Callithrix jacchus: one gene and its partner. Each later gene encodes a partner of the first gene's protein in a complex. Links are inferred from orthologs where the notes say so. Each region holds a gene or a part of one and is shown on either strand. Other genes may lie near its edges.

Region 1 (7,485 bases):
ATGGCCAAAGTTGGGGAAGCACTGAACCTCCATGTCCCCATGTCTCTCCTGAGGCACATTTGCCTATTAAAGGCTCTGATGAGTACTACAGAAGGAACCATTATGTTAACTTTAATTTGGTGTTTCCCAAACATATTGGACCATAGACCTACTCCTACTGACATCTTGTGGAAATGTATTCCATGGAACCCCCTCCCTTTGAGAAATGCTGGTCTAAATTGATCAGAACTAATAATGTAAATGGTGGCTGGATGTGGTGGCTCACACCTGTAATCCAACACTTTGGGAAGCTGAGGCAAGAGAAGCACTTGGGCCCAGGAGTTCAAGACCAGTCAGGAGACATAAGGAGACCTCATCTCTACTAAAATTTAAAAAATTAGCCAGGTGTGGTGGTACCCATATGTGGTTCCAGCTATTCAGGAGGCTGAGACAGGAGGATTGCTTGAGCCTGTAGGCGAAGAATGCAGTGAGCCTGATCACACCGCTGCATTCTAGCCTGGGCAACAGAGGGAGACCCTGTCTCAAAAAAAAAAAAAAGTAAATGGTAAATACTGGTCTCACCAGATATTCCTGGGAAGATGCAGGAAGTGTGTGGGTCATGGGGTAGGGGATAAAGGGGAAAGAGCCAAACCTTTGTCTTCTTTGATGGAAAATTCAATAAAAAATTCTTAAGACCAAAAAATCAAGAAGTAGCATTATATGTAGGTTATTTCAAGATTTGGGGGTAGATTTTGAAAAAAATAGCTACAAGAGTTGAAAATGGTTGCCTCCAAAGGAGGGCAAATGAGGGTAAGAACTGTGTTCATAACAAGCCATGCAGTGCTATTTGATATTTTACATTATGTACCTATTTAATAATAAGATAAATGAAAAACAGGTTATATTCAGGCTTCCTCTCACTGGTTTTGATGCGCTGTGTATATTAAAATTCAGAAACATAAAAGACTTTCCGGGGAAATATTTTTGCTACAAACTCAAATGCTGAACAATCTTAAAAATGAAACACATAGGCCAGGCACAGTGGCTCACACCTGGAATCCCAGCACTTTGGGAGGCCAAAGCAGGTGGATAACCTGAGGTCAGGAGTTCGAGACCAGCCTGGCCAACATGGTGAAACCCCGTCTCTACTAAAAATACAAAAATTAGCCAGCCATGGTGGTGGGCACCTGTAATCCCGGCTGGCGATTACCAGGAGGCAGAGGTTGCAGTGAGCCAAAATTGTGCCACTGCACTCCAGTCTGGGTGACAGAACAAGACCCCATCTCTAAAAAAAAAAAAAAAAAGGCCAGGCAAGGTGGCTTACACCTGTAATCCCAGCACTTTGAGAGGCAGAGGCGGGCAGATCACCTGAGGTTAGGAGTTTGAGACCAGTTTCAACATGGTGAAACCCCATCTCAACTAAAAAGACAAAAATTAGCCAGGCATGATGGCAGGTGCCTGTAACCTCAGCTACTTGGGAGGCTGAGGTGAGAGAATCACTTGAACCCGGGAGGCGGAGGTTGCAGTGAGCAGAGATCACACCATTGAACTCCAGCCTGGGCAACAAAGCGAGACTCCATCTCAAAAAAAAAAAAAAAAGAAACATACAAAGCCTTGAAATTTCTGCTTTGCCATATTTGATAATGAAAATGACTGTGATAGTTTTGCTACTATTCATGAATGATGATATACTACATGTGCAGCTTGCAGATGAGCTCATCAGTTGATGCAGAGATTTGATTAAAATGGGGAAAAGTAAGAATGCCCTGTTTTCTGATCAACACAAACATGTTCAAATAGAAGCCAGCGACTCTCTTACCTTAGTTTACAGCCAGATTGCATAGCGTAACCAAATAATACTGGGGTCCGGACCCCCTCCAGTGCTAAGCAGTCTTGCTCAGTTGTGCTATGAAGAATAGTAAGCTGTCCATATCTATTTGTGATCTGAATAATTCCAGACATTCACAGACAGTTAAGGGACAACTACCTAGTGCTAGAGCAGCCTGGTTCTCAGGTAAGAAGACGTTGTCGTTTGTGTGACATGAGACATGAAGGAGACCTACATACCCTTTTTCTGGGCCTCTGGGATTTTGACAGCTATTTCCCAGGAGTGAGCAAAAAAAATAGCTCTATTTTCCTTACTAAGTAGATTCTCAGAAGAAAAATTCTCAGAAACTGGCCCTTCGAAATTCTAAATTTTCAAAATCACTAAATTTGTTTAGGAGTGTCTGTTTAAATGTGAAATTAAAAACGTTTAAATGTCAACTTTTCTCTCTTAAGATTTTCGTTGTAAAACACTGACATATTTTGTAGCTTAATGGCAGGCTGGGAAAAGAAAACGAGATTTACAATAAAAACACCACTGACATTTTCCTAGGACATGCTATCTCACCCCCAACTGCCAGTCTCTCCCTAGCCCACCTGCTGTGTAGCCAGACTGGCCGCCCACCTTCCTGCCTGCAGGAAGCTCGCCGGGGCTGCTCTCTCCATCCCACAAGCAGCCCAGGGGAGCCTCAGTGAGAAAGAGCAGTGCAGCCCACACACATGGAGACAGGAATAAATTCACCCTCTACAGAACCAAAAAGGATATCCCTTATGAGGCTGGAATCCAGCAGCTAACGGGAGCCCCATGACATAACCAGGGTTTCCACTGAGAGGGACCGGCTTGGTATTTTCCTGAAAGGCAATGCAGAAATGCCTCCAAATAATTCTCATTTCAATAAGGAAATAGCAGGGAGACAAATGGTTTTTTTTATAATAAAATCTGGAATTACCCACCAATAAAAGTATTTCTCCCTCCCTACTCAGAACTATAAATACATCTGCCAGGTGTAGGAGTATATCATACTGTAAAAGAACAAGCTAACGTGGAAGGGAATCTATTCCCAAAAGGGAAAAAGATACAAGGAGGATGCTTGGTTTCACTGCAAACACCACAGGCTACACAAAGCCCTCTGTGCACTACAAAGGCTTGGGTGTAATACTCAGAAATTCATTTTTATCCACTAAGAAGTCATTTTTTTTTAACTTGACAATTAAATATTTATGCCAGCTTGATCAACCTTACCTGAAGAAAATGAATTTCAAACTTTTGCTGCAGTGGAACCATTACACTGCTAACTGTCCCCAGAAGTAAAGAGAGATCGGCTTTGATGACTTCACCTGCATCTGTGTATGTGAGGCTGTATTTTACCTAAAAACAAAACAATCCTCCAAATATACCTGTTCCATGACATTTCAGTAACTTTATGAATAACTCAAATAAAACACCCATAGGCAGCAAATCTTTCCCCATTTCTCCATGTGTTGAAGCTTTGCTCTGCTGTCCAGTTGGATTATGAGAAGTGGTTCCCTCAGCACCACCCTTAGCAGACAGGGTCATCTGAGCCACACTGTGCCCAATTACAGAAGTTCCATGTAAGCTGGTCTAAGCAGAATGTAATAAGTCCATCTCTGCAGAGGAAACATGTTAAAACAAAAACAGCAACGACAACAACATTTTGATGTATTCCTGCAAGTCACTAGGTTTGTGGAGACAAGAGGCATCTTTTGATGAGAGAACAAAAAGGCAAGCAGGCAGCCAAGCCAGGAAAAGCCAAATCACAGGCCAGGACAGAGCGCCCTCGGAGGGCATCCAGTTACCCCAGTGGAACATGAGGCTTGAGTCCGTCACAGACAAGCTCTCAAAGCCAAATTCGGCACCTACCTCAAGCACAACATTCATGCAAAGGCTAAAGTGTCCAGCGTTGACGAGAGCCGGCTGCAGCACATCAGTGTCTTCCCGACGGGTGAGCGTTTTATTTAGAGACTGAATGACAACGGACTGAACAGTGATAGGTACCTGCAGAGTGAAGACCTGGAGTACTGAAGATGCTTTATCCAGGGAGAAAGAGCTAAAATCACAACCAACTGGAAACAACCCTTCCCTGATATACGGCCAAGTGGAGGGAAGCATGCTACACGATAGTGTGTATACCATGATCCCACATTTGCGAAAGTAGGTATTTGTAGGTAAAAACATACATACATTCACAAAGAAAATACTTGAGAAGATATAACCAAAACTTTAAAAGCAGTTGCCTCTGAAAACATAAAGTTTACACAAAAACTTGTACACAAATGTTCACAGCTGCACTATCATAATAGCTAAAACCGAAAACGACTTAAATGTCCATCAACTGATGAATGGATAAGTACAAAGCCTAGCCTTACAAAGGAATATGTCTCATCCACAAAAACAGTACTAATACACGCCACGGTATAGATGAGTCTTGACAACATGCTAAGTCACAGAAGCCAGACACGAAAGGCCACACATCTAATGCCACTTATATGGAATGTCCAAATAGGCAAACCCATAGCGATGAAAAGTAGATTAGTGGTTGCCAGGGGCTGGGGACAGAGCTGGGGAAGAATGAGGAGTGACTGCTAACACAGGGCTCCTTTTTGGGGTGACGGAAATGTTCTGCAATTAGTGGCGATGGTTGTACAACCTGTGACTATACTAAAAACCACAGAATTGCATACACACACACACACAACTCCATCACACTGTCAAGTGCATATATATATCCTCACCTCCAAACACAACTCCTACATACTCCATACCCACACATGCACATTCACACACAGTCCCAGGACACATATCCTTAAGCCTCCACATACCCCCGAATATTCATTTGACCCAATTTATACCCAACTTCTACACATACATACATGTGCGGGCGCGCGCGCGCACACACACACACACACACACACACACACACACACACACACACACAGTGGTTTCTCTGGGTGGTGGGATTATAAGCAAGAGAAAACAGAGACAGACAAATCTTTTCAGCAGCACCAGGAATCCCTGCTTATCCCAGTGCTATTAAAGGATATTTTGCATTCATGGCCACCGCCAGCAGAGTAACAAAGCATCAAGCCATCCTCTAAAGGTAGCTGGAAGCCGGGCGCAGTGGCTCAAGCCTGTAATCCCAGCACTTTGGGAGGCCGAGGCGGGTGGATCATGAGGTCAAGAGCTCGAGACCAGCTTGGTCAACATGGTGAGACCCCGTCTCTACTAAAAATACAAAAAAATAGCTGGGCATGGTGGCACGTGCCTGTAATCCTAGCTACTTGGGAGGCTGAGGCAGGAGAATTGCCTGAACCCAGGAGGCGGAGGTTGCAGTGAGCCGAGATCACGCCATTGCACTCCAACCTGGGTAACAAGAGCAAAACTCCGTCTCAAAAAAATAAATAAATAAAGGTAGCTGGGCCTCCTTGTACTATAGGATGAATCTGTCATTTGCTCTAAACTTCAATTCTTGGAAACCACTGTTGAGGAAGGAACCTCATGTATCTATTAACAGTTGTTTATACCACTTTGAACTTGTACTCAATCATGCACCATGCTGTTTATAATTCAAAATGACCAAGTATTTAGGCAGTCATTTTAGAGATAAATAAACAGTCCTTATGTGTCTGCTCCCATGACCAAGAAGACCTGAGAGTCAAACCCTCTCATAGAAGAACATAACATGGCCGGACACAGTGGCTCATTGTCTGTAATCCCAGCACTTTGGGAAGCAGAGGCAGGTGGATCATGAGGTCAAGAGATCAAGACCATCCTGGCCAACATGGTGAAACCCCATCTCTACTAAAAATACAAAAATTAGCTGGGCGTGGTGACACATCTGTAATCCCAGCTACTCAGGAGGCTGAGGCAGGAGAATTGCTTGAACCAGGGAGTTGGAGGTTGCAGTGAGCTGAGATCGCACCACTGCACTTCAGCCTGGTGATAAAGCAAGACTCCATCTCAAAAAAAAAAAAGAATGTGACATGACTCAGTAACAAAGACGTAAGCTGTCATGTGATGAGAGTGGCAGAAGGGCCTTGCCAGTCACCATGAAGTCCTCTGCATAACACACCACACCAAGAGGTTTCAGCATGGAGAAGGTCCTAGGCTGCGATTCAATTAGCTCTTGTTTAACACAAGGGCAACCCCGGGTTCCTTACTCTGAGCATAGTGGTTCTTGATTCAGCAATGACACTAGGTTCCAGGGTAGAGCATACCCTACCATACCAAGCTCTGCCAGAGCTACTTCTATGGTATGTGGGTGGAATTGGCAAAAATCGAAGGATTCCATGTCAAAGAGGTCTGGAAAGTCCTGGTGTCAATGGCAAGAGCTGCCCTCATCTCAACAGCTCACTCAATAGTCACGAGAAGGAAACGGTAGGGCCATGCTGATTTCCTTGATTCCTCTTCCATCACATCCCATCCCTAAACCACACACGAGTAAAGAACTCCAGAATACTCAACGAAACTACAGGGCTACCCTGGAATCTTTCGCTGATGGCTCCACAGAGACTGACAATGATTCCAGGCAATCATAACAGTCTTCACTTAGTGGCAAGATTAGACCCAATTTCTATACTCCTGATCCTCTAACCTTAAAATCTGCTTTTTAAGAAAATTTCAAACAAATCCCTACGATTAGTTTATATGCTTGTCCTTTAGAGCACAATCTTTGGTGTCACACAGACGTAAGTTGGAAGTCCAAGTTCCAATCTGCCATATCCTGTGTGGCCACAGGATGCAAAGAAGGAAGGTGTGTGAAGCCTGTCACGTGGGCTCACAGAGTAGAGCTGACCCAGCATGGTGGAAAAGTATAAGGTCCCTGGGGCCAGACCGCCTGGATCCCCGTCCCAGCTCTGCCACTTCCCAGCTGTGCAGCCGTGGGCAAGCTCATTCATCTCCCTGTGACTCATCTGCCAGAGAGTGACAGTAACTGAACCTACCTCCTAAGACTGCCAAAAGGATTTGAAGACATCAGACACATACAGCACTTAGAACAGTGCCTCCTGGACATTCATCACTAAATGCATAACTCACTGAGTGCCCAGTACATACTGGACGCTGCCTTAGAAATAAGGATATATCATGAATAAGGCTGATGGGCTGCTGCCCCCACAGATGGTTCCAGTTTTGAATGGTAGAATCCAAGCACTCTCTAGGGGTTGGAGGGAGGTGAGAGCTAGCCCATTGCATAACTTTCAGACTGCATTCCCGGGAGCCCTAGCGTTCTTCACTAGGAACAAAGAGGAGAGAGGAGGAGGCTGGGCAGGTGGAAGGCTTCAGGCCCCTTCCCTGCTCTAACCAGCACAGCTTCAGATTCAGTCTGTTATACTCTAGGGAGGTTTCTGCTTCAGACTGCATTTGAGAAAGGGTTTCTATAACTAAAACAAGTTTGAAAACACCTTCACAGAAGAGGGGATCCAGCCCCACACACCATCATGTGAGATCCAAAGTCACATGGAACCCTAGGGCTCCCAGGGATGCAGTCTGAAAGTTATGCAATAGGCTAGCTCTCACCTCCCTCCAACCCCTTTCAAACATTTCCCTCACACCCATTTGTGTCCAGAGCATCAATGAAGTCAATCACAACTGATGCGTCCCCATCCTGAGTGCGTCCCTTACACAGACTCCGCACCTGCACCTCGTGTGCTTCTCCCACTCGA
Region 2 (8,078 bases), on another chromosome or scaffold:
TGGTTCATCTCTTTACTTGAATGCCACCTCCCCTCCCACCCTGACCCCCACCTTCCCATCTCCCCCTCCAACCTGGCCTCAGCCCTAATCCTACAAACTATTGAGCAGGCCTGGGAAAGCCTTAGCTCAGCCTCTCCAGGGCCAGACTTGGCTGCCAAAGGCACCCATGTGGTATGCGGAGCAGGGACAGGTCTTGGTGTTCCCAGCCCCAGGGACTTCAGATGCTACTGGCCCCCTCCCCTCAGCCTGGCCCCGAGCCCAGGGGTAGTACTCACCTTGAAGACCTTTGGTGGCAAAGTGCAGGTCGATGGGGTGGGACCAGTAGGCCATTTCCCCTATCTGGGGGGTGTCCACCTGCGTCTGGCCCTCCCGCACACCTGATAGGAGCTTCCACGCTGCCCCTGCAATGAGAGCCAGGACACAGAGGGGTGGGAGGCAGCCTATGGGAAGGGGATGCTGCCGTGGCTACAGGACTGTGTATCTCTGTGGCATCTGCTCGTAGGGCTTACGAAGCATGAACTCTGGAGCCAAATATCTGGGTTCAAATCCTGGCATTACTTCTTCCTGCCTGTGCAACCTTAGGCAAGTTACCTTTCTCTGCCTTAGTCTTCGCATCTGTAAAATGCGTGAGTAATAATGCAATCCTCATTGTCTTCACTTGTTTTCTTTTTTTTTTTTTTGAGGCAGAATCTCGCTCTGTTACCAGGCTGGAGTGCAGTGGCACAAACTCGGCTCACTGCAACCTCCACCTCCCAGGTTCAAGTGATTCTCCTGCCTCAGCCTCCCGAGTAGCTGGGACTATAGGCACACACCACACACCCAGCTAATTTTTGCATTTTTAGTAGAGATGGCGTTTCACTTTGTTGGCCAGAATGGTCTCGATCTCCTGACCTCGTGTTCCGCCCGCCTTGGCCTCCCAAAGTGCTGGGATTACAGGAGTGAGCCACCACACCCAGCCTACCGCACCCCGCCTGTTTTCTGTTACTCGTAACATAATATCCAAAACTGGGTAATTTATAAAGAAAAGGAATTTCTATCTCACAATTATGGGAGATTGACTGAGGTGGAGGGGTCCCATCTGGTAAGAGCCTTCTTGCTGGGGGGACTCTCCGAAGATTCCCAAGGCTAGTGTGTCAACATGCCACTCAGGTTTCTCTTTCTCATTTTATACAAAGCCACCAGTTCCTCTCCCATGATAACGAAGTCATCCATTAACCCATTAATCCATGAACAGATTCATCCATTCATGGGGGTTCTGAAGGGATGAATCACCTCTTAAAGGCCCTACCTCTTAATACTGCCACATTGGGGATTCAACTCATTCAACGTGCGTTTTGGAGGGAACACACATTCAAACCACAGCACTCATAGTTTGGTGAGACAATTAAGTGAATTAATATAAAGCCCTTGGAACACTGCAGGGGGCATGGTGAATGTGGGATAAGGCTTCAATATCATCTTTTTTTTTTTTTTTTTTTTGAGACGGAGTTTTGCTCTCGTTACCCAGGCTAGAGTGCAATGGCGTGATCTCGGCTCACCGCAACCTCCGCCTCCTGGGTTCAGGCAATTCTCCTGCCTCAGCCTCCTGAGTAGCTGGGATTACAGGCACACGCCACCATGCCCAGCTAATTTTTTGTATTTTTAGTAGAGACGGGGTTTCACCATGTTGACCAGGATGGTCCCGATCTCTTGACCTTGTGATCCACCCACCTTGGCTTCCCAAAGTGCTGGGATTACAGGCGTGAGCCACCACACCCGGCCCTCAATATCATCTTACTATTCTCACCCCACATTCACAAGCCTAGTCCAAGGATACCCTCCAGAAGCACATCCTAAGCACATGTAACAATTTAGATGCTACTAAGGGGTGATGATAGTTAAAATGCACCGAGTGGCGGGGCGCGCTGGCTCATGCCTGTAATCTCAGCACTTTAGGAGCTCGAGGCAGGCAGACCATGAGGTCAGGAGTTTGAAACCAGCCTGACCAACATGGTGAAACCACGTCTCTACCAAAAATACAAAAATTAGCTGGGTGTGGCGGTGTGTGACTGTATTCCCAGCTACTCAGGAGGCGGAGGCAGGAGAATCGCTTGAACCCAGGCGGCAGAGGTTGCAGTGAGCCGAGATCATGCCATTGCACTCCAGTCTGGGCAACAGAGTAAAACTCTTGTCTCAAAAAAAGAAGTAGGAAAAAAAGAAAAATGCACTGAATACTTACCAAATTGTATATGCTCTGCTAAGCACTTTAGGCGATGCATTCCTTTAATCGACCCTATAGGATTCTTCATCCCCTCCTCACCCCCTAGTTTACAGACTCTCCACCATGGCCTAAATGGCCTGGCTCTTGCTCCCCTCCCGGAGTTCATCTCCCATCACTCTCCCCCGCCCTCATCACCCTCAGGCCTCACTGGTCCCACTTCTGTCTCCCCACCTCAGGGCCGTCGCACTTGCTGTTCCCCCTGCCTAGAAAGCTCTGCTCCTGGGTGTCCCCATCCCTAGCTTGTTTTCATCCTTCAGGGCTCAGCTCACATGCCACTTCCACAGAGGAGTACTCCCTGTCCCTCTTCTCCAAACACAGGTCCCTGTCACATCATTTTTTTCATCCTAGCACTTACCACTGTCTGTAATCACGGTGTTCCTTTTTTTTTTTTTTGAGAGTCTCACCCTGTCTCGAACTTCAAACTCCTGACCTCATGATCTGCCCGCATCAGCCTCCCAAAGTGCTGGGATTACAGGCATGAGCCACTGCGTCTGGCCTCTTTTTTTTTTAATTTGGAGACAAAGTCTCCCTCTGTGGAGTGCAGTGGCACAATCACAGCTCACTATGGCCTCAACCTCCCAGGCTCAAGCAATCCTCCCACCTCAACCTCCCAAGTTGTTGGGACCACAGGCATGTACCATCATGCCCTGCTACTTTTTTATTTTTTGTAGAGACAGGGGTTTCCCTATGTTGCCCAGGCTGGTCTCAAACTCCTGAGCTCAACTGATCCTTCTAACTCAGCCTCCCAAAGTTCTGGGATGGGGTGAGTCACCATGCCCAACTGCACTCATTTCTTTTATTTATTTATTTTTGAGAGAGTCTCGCTCCATCACCCAGGCTGGAGTGCAGAGGCAGGATCTCAGCTCACTGTAACCTCTGCTTTCCAGGTGCAAGTGATTCTCCTGCCTCAGCCTCCTGAGTAGCTGAAATTACAGGCACCAGCCACCATGACCAGGTAATTCTTCTGTATTTTTAGTAGAGACGGGGTTTTACCATGTTGGCCAGGCTGGTCTTGAACTTCTGACCTCAAGTGATCTGCCCACTTCAACCTCCCCTAGGCCAAGGTTGCATTAACAAGCAATAACTGGTTTTGAACCCAGGCAGTCTATGCTTTTAACCTCAACCCTGTGCTGCTTCTTAGCTGCTATCAGCTTCACTTTCAGACAAGGAAACTGAGGCTCAAAGAGGTCAAGTCCAAAGATCTCCAATTAATAGGTGGGGAGTCAGTATTTAAAACCAGATCTGGCAGTCCATGGACCTAACCATTACACTATACCATGACTCTACAGGGTCTCAGCTGGGGAAGCATGAAAAAAACGACTTACCTGGGGCATGATGACTCAGTAATCCCAGCACTTTGGGAGGCGGAGGTGGGTGGATTGCTTGGGCCCAGGAGTTCAAGACCAGCCTGGGCAACATAGCAAGTCCCTGTCTGTACAAAAAATAAAAATATTAGCCAGACTTGGTGGTGCATGCCTGTAGTTCGAGCTTCTCAGGAGGCTAAGGTGAGAGGATCACTAGAGCCCGAGAGTTGGAAGCTGCAGTGAGCTATAATCACACCACCTTCCTCCAGCTTGGGCGACAGAGAAAGAGCCTGTCTGTCCCCACTCCCCTCCAAAAAAAGACAAGAGCTTGAGACTCAGGTGGACAGGGTGTGGGCTGGGACTGGAGTACTCAGAGCTGATGGAAGATGAGGTTAAGACGCTACATTAAGGGGTCGAGGAAGGAGCGTGCAGCCTCTAGGCTAAGGGTCTTGGTGTGGAAATGAACCAGGCCCTGGGGGGGGATACCTGTGTGGATGCCCCACTTGCAGAAGAGGCTACTTTCCGAGAAACCGCTGGCCCCCATGATCTGCCCGATCACATGCACCTCAGCCATGGCCCTGGGAGTAAAAATATAATCACAACCCTGTGAGGTGAGTGTATTATCTCCATTTGATGGGGGAGGGGGGGGCGCCGAGGGAGCGGGGAACTGAGCCTCACCAGATAAACGGTAGTACTAGGATTCCAAGCTACCTTCGTCAAACCCCTGGGGCTGACGTCTTGGCCACAGATGCTAATTGGCAACGCAGGAAAGCCTGGAAAAAATGAGGGAACCCTTGTCTGGGGAGCCAGTATTTAATTCTGCAAAGTCTAAAATAACTTCTTTGGGTTCAATTCCGCTGAAGGCCCCGCCCACGAGCGCAAAATCCCCGCCTCCCCCGACCACCCCCCCCAGCTCCATAAGGCGCATGCGTTATGAGTTCATGGCCGCCTTAGCCCCGCCTCTAGGCATCGCGCATGCGTTATTCCTACCTTGGCGCCCTTAACGGTTAGGAGACGCGAACGCGGTAACGAGGTTTGTAGTTCGTGGGTTTGACTTGTCCTTTTCTCTGCGGGCGCCGACCGGGCTTGGCTCGCGCCTCTCCCAAGACCTTCCTGTCTGCGAGAGATGGAAGCCGCAATATTTCTGCGGTCGCGCTCGTCTTCGGTTCCCTGGTTGTTGCTGGGGCAACAGCAGGCTCCTCCCCTGGCTTTGTACCCGCCCTGCGCGCCACTGATTGGTGCTAGCCGTTCGGGGGTTGGGGGGGAGGGTGGGGTCGGGTGAAGCTATGATGGACATTTTCCTCTTCTCGCTCCGTTTTGGGAAAATAGCATCCCTCCAGCCGCGGCAAAGGATTCCGCCATTTTGGGCGTGGCGAGAAAGCTGCCATCTTGAGTGTGGCTGAGGAAGTTTGAGTGTAGTTTCTCCTAGCTATAGTCTTTACCAAAAAAGCTGATCCCTCACCGCTTCGTGCTCCGCCCACCCCTCCTTGCTCCAACCCACCTAAGAGCTCTCTATGGTCTGGGATCACAAATCAGAGACTTGAGCCAGGACCAAGGGGGAATTCCTTCTAGGACCTCTTGTACATCCCCTGCCTTGTAACTGGAAAACAAAGCAAAAAAAAATCCTCATTCTGAGAGTGGAGAAGTTGGGAAGTGGGTTCCATTTCCGTTTTAAGAGTTCCTCTAGGCTTCTCAAGGTCTGATAAGTCCAACGTCCTTCTCGGAACTACTACCTAGTTCACTGTTACTGCTTGATTCCGAGCAAGGAGCCGTTGGGATAGCGAGGAGAAATGAGGAACTTAGATCCCCTTATTTGCAGAAAATCCTCTTTCCTATTGATTTTTCAATAAAGAAATGGAGATGTTATGCCTGGATGCCATCCTAGATGCCATCCTAGATGCCATCATTTCCCGCATCCAGCCAGTCATCAGGTCCCATCAAAGGGTCTCTGTCACCCAAGCTGGAGTACGGTGGCTCCATCACAGCTCACTGCAACCTCTTAACTTCTGAGTTCAAGGGGTCCTCCTGCCTCAGCCTCCCAGTAGCTGGGATCACAGACATACGCAATCACAGCTGGCTAATTCTTTTTTATTTTTTTTTAAGAGAGGGAGTCTTGCCGGGCACGGTGGCTCAGGCCTGTAATCCCAGCTAGTCGGGAGGCTGAGGCAGGAGAATTGCTTGAACCGGGACCCAGGAGGCAGAGGTTGCAGTGAGCCGAGATCGCGCCACTGCACTCCAGCCTGGGGTACAGAGCGAGACTCCGTCTCAAAAAAAAAACACAGATGGAGTCTTGCTGTGTTGCCCAGTCTTGTCTTGACCTCCTGGACTCTAGCAGTCCTCCCAGTTTGCCCTCCCAAACTGTTGGGATTACAGACTGAGCCACCCAGCCTGGCCAATAGATACAAGTATTTAAAAGCTACCATTGGCTAGGCGCAGTGGCTCATGCCTGTAATCTCAGCCCTTTTGAAGGCTGAGGCAAGAAGAGCTCTTGAGGCCAGAAGTTCAAATATAGCAAGACCCCATCCCTACAAAAATTAACGCGTATATCTGCTAGTGAAATAGTCCATTGAATTGTTTAATATAAATGTTATCCTATTGAAATGTTGCCCCTTCCTTATAATTTTGTTTTTGTTGTTGTTGTTTGGGTATTTTTTTTTTTTTTTTTTGAGGCAGACTCTCCCGCTGTCACCCAGGCTGGAGTGCAATGGCGTAATTTCAGCTCACTGCAATCTCTACCTAACAGGTTCAAGCGATTCTTCTGTCTCAGCCTCCTGAGTAGCTGGGATTACAGGTGCCCACCACTATGCCTGGCTAATGTTTGTATTTTCAGTAGAGATGGAATTTCACCATGTTGACCAGGCTCCTCTTGAACTCCTGGCCTTGTGATTTGTCTGCCTCAGCCTCCCAAAGTGCTGGGATTACGGGCATCAGACACCTTTCTCGGCCCCAGCGACTTATTGTATTTTTTTTGAGACAGAGTCTTGCTCTGTTGCCCAAGCTGGAGTGAGCCACTGCACCCAGCTGAAATTTCACTTTTAAATGATGTTTCTTTCCTTTAAGCTGGAGCTGGGGAAACAAACAAACAAAAGATCTTGGCCAGAAGTGGTGGCTCACGCCTATAATCCCAGCACTTTGGGAGGCCTAGGTGGGCGGATCATGAGGTCAGCAGTTCGAGACAAGCCTGGCCAAAATGGTGAAACCCTGTCTCTACTGAAAATACAAAAATTAGCTGGGCGTGGTGGTATGCACCTGTAATCCCAGCTACTCGGAGGCTGAGGCAGGAGAATTGCTTGAAGCTGAGAGGCGGAGTTTTCGCTGAACTGAGATTGAGCCATTACACTCCAGCCTGGGCAACAAGAGAGAAACTCCGTCTCAAAATAAAAAAAAAAGAGAATGAAAGAAATACATCCTAAATCCCCCCACTTCTCTTCTCACCTCTATCTCACCCAGTACCTTCATCTGTCCAAGTTCATCTCTCACCTGGACTATGACAGGAACCTTGTCTCTGGGACCCCCTTCCCCAGCCCACCTAGTCTGTATCCTGCATGCAGCTGGGACCCTGTGAACAGCTAAGTCAGGTCCCATCTGCTCAGACCCCTCCAGTGGTCCCCATTTCACTCAGGGCAGAAGCCAAAGTCTTCCCACGTATCCCAAGGCTCTGCACAACGTGGCTTACACCTCCTACCTAATTTTTGTATTTTTAGTAGAGATGGGGTTTCACCATGTTGGCCAGGCTGGTCTCAAACTGCTGACCTCAGGTGATCCGCTCACCTTGGCCTTCCAAAGTGCTGGGATTATAGGCACGAGCCACCGGGCCTGGCTGGGGTCTTCATTCCGAAGGCTCCCATGTATCCATGTTAAATAAAAGAAAAAAAATTATTGTCCACCATAAATAATGAGATTCAGAAAATCTGATTAAGGCCAGGTTCACTGGTTCATGCCTGTAATCCCAGCACTTTGGGAGGCTGAGGCAGGTGAAGGTCAGGGATTCCAGACCAGCCTGGCCGACATATAGTGAAAGCCTATCTCTACTAAAAAATACAAAAACTAGCTTGGGCGTGCTGACACACGCCTGTAATCTCAGCTACTTTGGAAGCTGAGGCAGGAGAATCACTTGAACCTGGGAGGTGGCGGTTGTGGTGAGCAGAGATTGCCCCACTGCACTCCAGCCTGGATGACAGAGCAAGACTCCCAGTCTCAAAAAGGAAAAAAAAAGAAAATATGATTAACTATAGAATTTATTCCAGGCTACAAGGCCAGTATGTATGTTAACAGCAGTTTCATTAGCCTGCTAGGCTGCAAGGAAGATTGCGTTCACATTCTGTGAGGAGGAGGAATATTCATTCTTTCTTTTTTCTTGAGATAAGATCTTGCTCTATTATCCAGGCGGAACTGCAGTGGCACAATCACAGCTCACTGCAGCCTCGAACTCCCAGGCTCAAGCCTCCCACCTCAGCCTCACCAGTAGCTGGGACTACAGGCATGTGCCACCATGCCCAGCTAATTTGTTAATA

The links. The genes of interacting proteins can lie anywhere in the genome.
Region 2: TCTN1 (region 1) and B9D2 share a complex: the UniProt entries of both Homo sapiens proteins name them as parts of the tectonic-like complex. The link is inferred for Callithrix jacchus from reciprocal best matches to the Homo sapiens genes TCTN1 and B9D2.

Annotation. Positions count from the first base shown.
Region 1 is NC_133510.1:113,537,108-113,544,592, reverse strand, and holds part of TCTN1 (tectonic-1), read right to left. Parts: intron 3,821-7,485; coding exon 3,686-3,820; intron 3,173-3,685; coding exon 3,047-3,172; intron 2,656-3,046; coding exon 2,570-2,655; intron 1,940-2,569; coding exon 1,799-1,939; intron 1-1,798. UniProt on the Homo sapiens protein: Component of the tectonic-like complex, a complex localized at the transition zone of primary cilia and acting as a barrier that prevents diffusion of transmembrane proteins between the cilia and plasma membranes.
Region 2 is NC_133523.1:36,639,722-36,647,799, forward strand, and holds the start of B9D2 (B9 domain-containing protein 2), read right to left. Parts: upstream 4,439-8,078; 5' UTR 4,243-4,438; intron 4,143-4,242; 5' UTR 4,139-4,142; coding exon of another isoform or gene 4,051-4,138; intron 3,693-4,050; 5' UTR 3,680-3,692; coding exon 3,586-3,679; intron 402-3,585; coding exon 276-401; intron 1-275. UniProt on the Homo sapiens protein: Component of the tectonic-like complex, a complex localized at the transition zone of primary cilia and acting as a barrier that prevents diffusion of transmembrane proteins between the cilia and plasma membranes.